Linked DNA regions of Coturnix japonica. The protein of the gene in region 1 purifies or fractionates together with the protein of each later gene. This does not show direct contact. Links are inferred from orthologs where the notes say so. Each region holds a gene or a part of one and is shown in the gene's direction. Other genes may lie near its edges.

Region 1 (4,471 bases):
TATCTTGTTATATCACAAAGAGTGAGAAAACTATGGAAAATTAAGAGCTTTTGGACATATGTGAGTGAAGGATGAAGGGAAGTTAAGCAGAAAAATTAAACCTTGCAGTTAGAAAATGAAATGAGACCAAAAAAAATGTTGCCCCAGCAATAAGACTTGCTACTTGCTTTCATCTTTTAGTACATCTTTTAGTCTTTTTAACCCACCCAGGAAAAAAAAGAACATCACCAACCACCACCAAAATATCTCTTGTTAGTCAATGATTTAATTTGTTCGTAGTGTAAGTGAAACTCCTTGAAGAGGGCACCAAGGTAAAAAGGATGAGTTGTTAAACCCATGGAAAGGGACAGGACAATCTAAACAGCTGATGTGGGCTCTGATGAACGTGGACCAACTCAGCAAAAGGTGAGCGCAGTGTGCTGAAGAACAGGTAAGACCTTGTGAATTGAGGTAGATGCAGCTTTTCAAGGTTGCTTCCAGACAAAGCTGTTCAAGACTGAAGCTTCAATTCTGTGCTCCAACACTGCTCTAATTGATAACTGGACATTAATAGTTCCACCAAACTGTCACACACATGCAGATGGAACCAGACAGAAATAGGATGTGATTACTACACTTCAATTCCCTGATGATCCATCCCAGCTGACATTAGGCTTGAGGGACTTTTAAACTCAACATATGAATCTACAAGTTATCCTTATTTGCCCTGGGCATCTCTCTGGTTCAGGCTTCACCTATGGGTCTAAGTCATGCAATAATCAAGACTGGAGCTTTGATTATTAGCTTCATCTCTGGGAGGAGGGTTCCGTCTTCTCACCAGTCACAAAGAGAACGATGTCAGCAGATGATGCTAAGAAAGGTAGGAGTTAGGGAGTTAGCAGTCATGTGGCACTGCTGCCCAGTTTAGGTAAACTCAAGGCTTTTTAGTATTTATCAGTTTTCCCAAGGACTTTTAAACACTGATGTCAATTGCATCATGGAAATAAAAGCCGGAAAACAGCAGCATGTGACATACAAGAGAAACTGTGTTCTATTGTTTATGCACAACCCATTTGCTTCTCTTCGACGCTTCACCTGAAGGGTTTTGACAGTGAAGTTACATCAGCTAAAAAGCTACATTCATGAGATTTTTTGGGGCACTTAAAGCGTTGTATCTCGGAATGTTACTGAAGAAAGGGCAGACAGCTGGTCTTTCAGAGGGAAAAACAGCGCCCTGCAGGCGGCCTCGCCATCTCCACAGCCCGCAGAGCTCACCCATCACAGCCCTGCCAAGATGGCGGCCGCCGCCCTCCCTTCAGCGCGTGCGCGAGGAAGGAGCGGAGGAAAAGAGGAGGCCGCGATCCTCGCCATGCTCCGGAGGGGAAGGCGCACACACGTGAGCTCTTGGACCACCCGGCAGCTCCCGAGCAGCCGTTGTGTCGCCTCGCCGCATTGGTTGCTTTGTGAACCTTTCACCTTTTATCTGGGTCTCGCCGCCAATTGCTCGATTCCTTTCATGTCGCGGGGACGCAGAGCGTAAGCTGCGCAGGGTGGAATTCTCGAAGCGGGTTTGCGTCGCAGGCGCTGGGCGGCCTTCGTTGGTACGGGAGGGAGGTGCTCCGTTTGCGTAGGGCCGGCAGCGCAGGGGGAAAGCGGGGGGAGGAGAAGGAGGAGGAGGCCGTCGCGGGCCCAGGTGAATGGAGGAACCTGACAGCTGGGGGGAGCAAGGCGGCGGCAGCGGGGAAATGGCGGTGGCGGCTGCAGCACAATGAGACGTGGCCTGTAGCAGGGTGCAGCGCCGGGTCCGTCCGAGCAGGTAGGAGATGGCGGCCGGGCTCGCCTGCCCGTCGCCCCGGGAGCTGCGTGGCGGAGCCCGCTCCGCCGCGGTGGGTGGGTGGGATGGCGGCGGCCGCTCCCTCCCCGCCTCTCGCCGCCGGGTCCCGGTGAGCCGTGCCCCGCCTCTGGCCCAGCGACCGTCCTCGTCCCTACGGGGCCTCGCCCGTCTTGAGGCCGGGCTCGGATCCCCACCGTCGGCCTCGGCAGCTCCCGGCAGCGTGCGGGGTGTGAGGGCCGCGCTTTGGTCCTGCTCGGCTTTGTCTGCGTAGGGCCCGCGGGGAAGGCCCGGTGTGAGGCTGCGGAGCTCCGATCCCCCGTGTCCTGTCCCGATGGGTTCGGGGCGAGGATCGGAGCATGGGGAGAACTCTCTGCTGGGAGCCCGCTGCTAAAGGCGGGGAAGGAAGATCGCGGCTCTTCGTTGTGCTCCCGTCGTCTTACAGTTTAGGGGAGTGAAGAAAGTGTAGTAGCAGAGTGATAGAGGCACACCTGGTGCTTTGTGAAAGAACAAAAGGTTAAAAGGCACGTTAGTAAGCTGATATATTCGGTAAATTAATACTAAAAACATGGGCTGTGGTATTGACCTCTAGGAGGAAAAAAAAAAAAAAGCTTGTTTTGTTTTTGCTTATTGTCATTCCCCGGAAATGATTATTTCCAAAAATAGTTCCCTACTGACTTCAAATGGCGGGGATTTGGCACTTCAGATGATATGTTATGAGTGTTCTGGACATCGAGATGTTGAACCCCAAGTTATGCAGGGGGCTACAGTGGTGGAAGCTGTAGGTTTGAAGGTGATGACCATTCTTAAAGAAAAAAGACCCAACTGAAAAATCAAAAGAATTAACTGCAGGCACTCAGTTTACATTATGGTATATTGTGCTTTATACTTTCTGTATATGCCTTTTTCTTTTAATAAGCTACTTTTGTTGTTGTGTTGAAGTGCATACTGCATATGTAGCTTTAATAAGTTGTCTTGGTTATTTTTTTTTCCTCCCATAATTTGATATAGAGACAAACTGGAGTTTACTCCCTATATACCATAACTATTCTCCTAAATCTTTTTCTGAAGAGGGGGTTTTTCCATTGTCTGTGTCTACAACACTTGTAGTTATGAAGATTACAGTATAAGGTTTGGAGGTATTAGAAGCTGGAAGGTGCTAATAGGTGTATGATCAGAGCATTGTTACTATTTAATTTATTAATCTGGGGGATTAAAATAAATATGCTTGTACAGAAGTGCTGAACTTTAAATTAGGTATGAAATCATCTTAGTGATAATGTTTCTGTGAAAGTGGCAGCTCAGCACTCAGTCAAGAAGTAAAAAGAACCATCAGGACTTGCAAATAAGTGAAAATAAAAGGCCATCGGTATATAGTAGTATATAGCGGTGTATAGGTCCTTGCTGGGCCAACATATGTAATACTAAATGCAGTTTGGGTGTTTTTTGCTGTCTTTCTCTTCTACCTCAAAAAGTTGGTTTTAGACTAAGCACAAAGGTAGGGAGAAAGTTCATTAGGACTTCTTACACAGGGGAAGAGTTGCAAGAGGAAGGGTAAGAGATTGAAGTTAAAGTCATGAGCGAAGTTGATAGAAAGCAGTAGCTTTTTTTCATCTGTTCTTGAAAGGTTCCTGTAATTTATAAATAAATAAATAAGGCAATAGAACTATAGATCACATGCTGCTATATCATATGTAGCTACAGTTCCTGGTGCTGTAGCATCTTTGGAATGCTCAAGCATCCCATACACAGAAAACAACAAGGTGACTGTGAAAGGTGTCAGTAGGAGGTCTTGCTGTTATACTCCTTTGTAGTTGTCCTCCATTGGGTACTGGTAGACTACTGTATGGTGTACGCAAATCCCAGTTAAAAAACCTGTGAGATTCCTGTTCCTTGATGCAAAACTTCACTACTTCATCTGTATTCTCTTTCACCGTGAATGGACCAAGTATGTGTTGATCTGAATGCAAATTGCTGGCCAAAAAAATAAAAGTGAATACGCCTGTACTTTTTAGAAGAGCAAGGAGATTAGAGAAATGAATGTGGTGGTAAGCTTGGAGTTGACGTACTCTGTATAAGGTTGAACTCTCATTTACAGTATACAGAAGAATTTGCAAAGGATTAGAGATTCTTTAGGGATAGTGAGCATTAGAGTAAGTGCTAGGACTACTGACAACCTTTATTTCAGGGTTGTTCTAGTTGCATTAAAACATTCTTCTAATACCTGAAGGGAACTTACTCCCAGGAGGGGAGTAAACTCTTTGAAAGGCCTGACAATAGCAGGACATGGGGAAATGGTTTTAAGTTAAAAGAGGGAAGATTTAGGTTGGATGTTAGGGGGAAGTTCTTCACTAGGAGAGTGGTGAGGCCCTGGAACAGGCTGCCCAGGGAGGTTGTGGATGCCCCGTCCTTGGAGGTGTTCAAGGCCAGGTTGGACGGGGCCCTGGGCAACCTGATCTAGTAAAGGTGTATGTTTGGTGGCCCTGCCAGGCAGGGGGTTGGAACTACATGATCCTTGAGGTCCCTTCCAACCCGAGTTATTCTGTGATTCTGTGCTTCTTCAATTACAATGAGTTATGCCATGTTCCATAATTCTCAATGAGAAAATCCAGTTTTCTTTTTCTCTCATATAGTTATTACAAACTGTGGATACTGAGCTTG
Region 2 (4,316 bases), on another chromosome or scaffold:
AACCACCTCTTTATTAAAGAAAACGGTATGATTAAAGAGCTGCGGAACATTGTATCTCTATCTCATTTGGTCGCTTTTGTGGATGGGTTTATTTTTATTTTCATCTTTATTTTTTTTTTGCCTTAATCCTGAGGGGTTTTTTTTGCTTGCAACTTTGTCGTCCCAAGTGTCCTTTACCTTGTAAGTTTAGGCTTGTGTCTTGGGTACAGAAGTGGAGGTTGTTTGCCATCCTCTGGATCCGTTTGTGCATGTATCGACATTCCTTTAGGCACTGAATTATTGAGCAGCTGAGCTGTAACTCTGGGTTTTTGAATAATGCGAAGCAATTGCAGGGAAGCATTTGCCAATGGCATGCAAATATTCATTAGCTAATTGATGTGGGCTGTTAGAATGCACTGCATGGAACTGAGCATCTTTACCAACTCTGTTCATCCCTTCCTGCTTTTAACATTAGAACACGCTCAGAAGGGTTCCATCCATGGCAGCAATCAGCTGTTTCAGGGGACTCGTTTCCAAGATGTAACAGAAAATGGTGCTTCATGTGCCGGCTCTGAGGCCCTGGAAGCAGATCTCTGTCACTCCATGGTGTCAGGTTGTTGGGTTGGTACCTGAGCTCTGGCGCTGGGCTCCAATAACAGCAGCAGGAGGTGCCCACATGGAGACATATCCCTCAGCCCTACGGCTGATGGTGATGTGATGGTGGTGATCACGTTTCCACTTTCAGGATCTGAATGAAGGAAACATTCCAGTAGATTTTTAGATATCTACATTTTTACAGCATCAGCTCCCATAGCTGACTTTCAGGATGTGAATAAAGGAGACATTCCAGTAGTTTCCTTTAGATCTAATTTATGTTGTTAGAGCGCTTATATCATCACCCCCCATAGCTGGTACTGATTGCTCCCAGCTCTATGCAGTGTGGGGCAGCCCTATGGGGGATGATGAGCTGAGGGGAGCAGGGCCTTGAGCTGCGGCCTTGCATGGAATGAAGGCCAAAGCTCCGTTCATTGCTGTCCTTTTGGCAATGACTTAAAAGGAATTCAACTTCAAAGGCTGGAGATCCCAAATGTCGCCGTAACCCCTCAGTGCACACAATCGGACCCGCTCCTGGCCGCAGCATCTCATCTTATCGCTCCGCCCGGGCCATGACGGACCCGCTTCCTCCGCCATCTTGACAGCCGCCATCTTGACTACCGCCCCGCCTCACGCACTTCCGGTTCCGCCTTATTTCCGGCCTTTATCCCGGAAGTGCGGTGCGGGGGCGGAACTTCCGGCTGCCGTAGGTTCGGCGGGCGGCAGCGTGAGTCGGGGCTGCGGGGCGGCCACGCAACTTCCGCCGCCTCCTCAGGAGACGGGAGCGGCCCAGAGGAGCTGCGGCCTAACGGGACCGGGAGCCGCTCTGCTCCCTCACAGCTCAGCCCCACCGGGCCCAGCTCAGCCCAGCGGAGGAGCCCGCAGCCCCGAGTGGCTGCACCCAGCTCCATGAATGGAAATCAGCAGCGCAGGTGAGCGGCCTAACGGGGAACCGGGCGGCACCGGGTGGGGAGGGGAGAAGCGGGATGTGGCCGGGCTCAGCGGGGAGCGGCTGGGCCCAGCGGAACCGGGAACAGCGTTTCGTAACCCCGCGGGCATTGTATAACCCGGCAGCATCGGGGTATCGCCTGAAGAGCCGGAGGGTGCCATGCAGAGCGCATCGCTGTCGGTGTATCCCGGTTGTGTCCGTGCTGCTGGGCCTGGGTGTAATCACACCCATATCGGCTGGTTGTGCCCCTACATGAGGCCTAATGAGGGAGATGGGGTTGTTCAGCCTGGAGAAGAGGCTCAGGGGAGACCTTATATCTCTCTATAACTTCCTTAGTTAGAAGTTAGAATGGAGGTTGTAGTGAGCCTCTAATCTCGTGTAATCCATGATAGAAGTAGAGGGAATGGTTTTAAGGTGCGTCAGGGGAGATTCAGGCTGGATATTAGGAAGTATTGCTTCTCAGAAAGGGTAGTCAGGCATTATAATGCACTGCCCAAAGAGGTGGTGGAGTCACCGACCATGGGAGCGTTCAAGAAATGTCTATTCATATTGATGAATATGATTTAGATGGGAAGTATTGGGAATGGTTGGACTAGATGATCTTGTAGGTCTTTCCCAACCTTGTTAATTCTGTGATGCCCTTCGTTCAGGCCTTTGCTGTTTTGGTTGGTACTGTGGGAAGCAAAGGCTCGTTATTTGTGCACCGTGTGTTTAAAGTGAGACTTAAAGCTTAAGGTGTGTTGGAATGTGATGCAGGAGCTGGAGGTGCTAAGCAGGCCCACCCTGGCTCTTCACACATGGACGCCTTTAGTGTTTGTACAGAGGTTGAACTTGGTGATGGATTTGGCTGGGAAATCTCGCCACCCGCGTCCTCGCTTAATGAGCTTAAGTGATGGATTTGAAACCATGTTAGGAAAGGGCTGGATTTTAACGATCCTTTGGAATTTGGATGGCATGTGAACAGTCTGTGTGTGTTGAGTAAGCTATAGTGATAACCCGGCGTGATTCAGATTCAGATCTGATTCAGGTTCAGATTTACAAGTGTAGCACAGGAACGAGTTGCTTTTCTCTCTGGAATCAGTTTTTGTCCCTTCCACATCCAGAGCTTTTAGTGTTAAGGTGTCGTGGTGCTTTTAAAGCATGACAGGCATCATTTAATCCTGTGGTCTGTTTTCCATAGGAGCTTGTAGCAGACAGAATGCCTCGCTGTGTTGAGGTTGGTGGCTTGGGAGGACCATTAGAAGTTCTAGTTTTGTGGGTGGGGTTGAGAAGAAAGGGGGGAATGAATCATAAGTGCCTTCAGCAGCTACTCTGGTCAGGAATGCATGTGATGTGAGTTACAATGGAACTTCGCCTCTGTGGAATTGCAGTGGAAGCTGCTGGAATCGAAGTACCAACTTCACAAATGGTTTCTTCCCCGTCGCTTTGCTTCCATAGGGGTTTAATTGTCGGGTGGGATGTAGCTTAAGCTAATTTCTAAAAGAGTTTTAAATGAAATAACGGGAACATGAGGCTTTTGGACACATCTGGTCTGCATTTAAATGACACCAGTGGAGCAGCAGCCCCCCACTGCATCCAGAGCCAGCAATTCCTGCAGCGAAGGACTGAGAGGCAGCATCTGGGATGGGCTGAGAGCTCAACAATGGTCCCAAGGCTGGGAGCTGCAGTGAGGACAGGCAGCACAGTGTCCTGCCAGGGGGGCAGAGATCTTGCTAACTAAATCATTTTTCTCTTATGTTAGAATAGGTTTTGTGACTGGGGTGCCAAGGGAAGCATTTACCTTCAGCTGAGGGCAAGGTTAGAGATGGATACGGATTGATTTGGTTCTTAATGTTCATCAGGCGTTGTTCCTCACTTCTTTGTGCTGTGCTGCCATTAATTCTCTGCTCCTTTTAACCTTCATCACCTGCAAAACTTGCTGAGGGCGTAAATCACACTTTATTCTGCCTAAAGAATAAGCTTCACTGTAAGAAATTACTTCTATTTCCTGGTAGTGTGGCTCTAAGCTTAGTCCTGCATCGTGTGCCTGGGGTCTTGTTCTGCTCTCAGGCTGTACATGGGGCAATGGGAACTGAAAGCAGAGCAGCGGTGGATGGATGGAGCGATGAGTTCTAACATGACTTATTGTCTGGAACTGTTTTTTTCTTTAAAGCAGAGCCTAAATTGCGAGTAGGAATGTTGAGAAAACGTGGATTGCGTTACTCATCAATAATGTAATGCCACCCAGAGAGGTTGCTGCTGCAGAAATAAGGGAATTCATGATTTCTGGCATAGGGAAGGAATTATTATTATTATTATGGAAACCAGTGCTTACATAGGATCTCCTCACCCTGTTGTTTCAATCCAGAGTGTCTGGATTGACTCGTGTCTTGCTGCTGGTTGGATTCTCTCTGAGCTCCACAGCCTGAGCAGAAAGGGGCCCTGTGAAAGGGGATCTTCCTCTCCGTCCTCTGGATGCAGCCAGGGCTGCCAGGTCTGTGTTCTGAGCCCATACCTGTCATGTCTTCCATCACAGCCCCCGATCTGCTCAGCCACCCTTTGCTTAGAGGTCTGGATTAACTGAGCGTCTATTTGTATTTTTAACATTTGTAATGCTGAAGCCCACAGTGTGAAAATGGTTAATCTCATGCTGGAAGCCTGGTACTGGCTTCCCTTCCCTACAGAAGGCTGATGTAAGGAAACCCTTATCTCCTGTTAGCATCTTGCTAGAAAGCAGTATTTCTTCTTGCTGTAAAACTGCCTTGCACGCCAGAAGCTTTTCCTTAGCATGGTTTGCTGCGTGTACTTGCAGGCC

Evidence for each region. The genes of interacting proteins can lie anywhere in the genome.
Region 2: the proteins of DICER1 (region 1) and AGO3 purify together in Homo sapiens (affinity purification with mass spectrometry; 3 studies listed by BioGRID and IntAct, with this or other methods). This does not show direct contact. The link is inferred for Coturnix japonica from reciprocal best matches to the Homo sapiens genes DICER1 and AGO3.

What each region holds. Positions count from the first base shown.
Region 1 is NC_029520.1:41,612,885-41,617,355, reverse strand, and holds the start of DICER1 (endoribonuclease Dicer), read left to right. Parts: upstream 1-1,645; 5' UTR 1,646-1,795; intron 1,796-4,453; exon of another isoform or gene 4,454-4,471. UniProt on the Homo sapiens protein: Double-stranded RNA (dsRNA) endoribonuclease playing a central role in short dsRNA-mediated post-transcriptional gene silencing.
Region 2 is NC_029538.1:3,712,245-3,716,560, reverse strand, and holds the start of AGO3 (protein argonaute-3), read left to right. Parts: upstream 1-1,248; 5' UTR 1,249-1,486; coding exon 1,487-1,505; intron 1,506-4,316.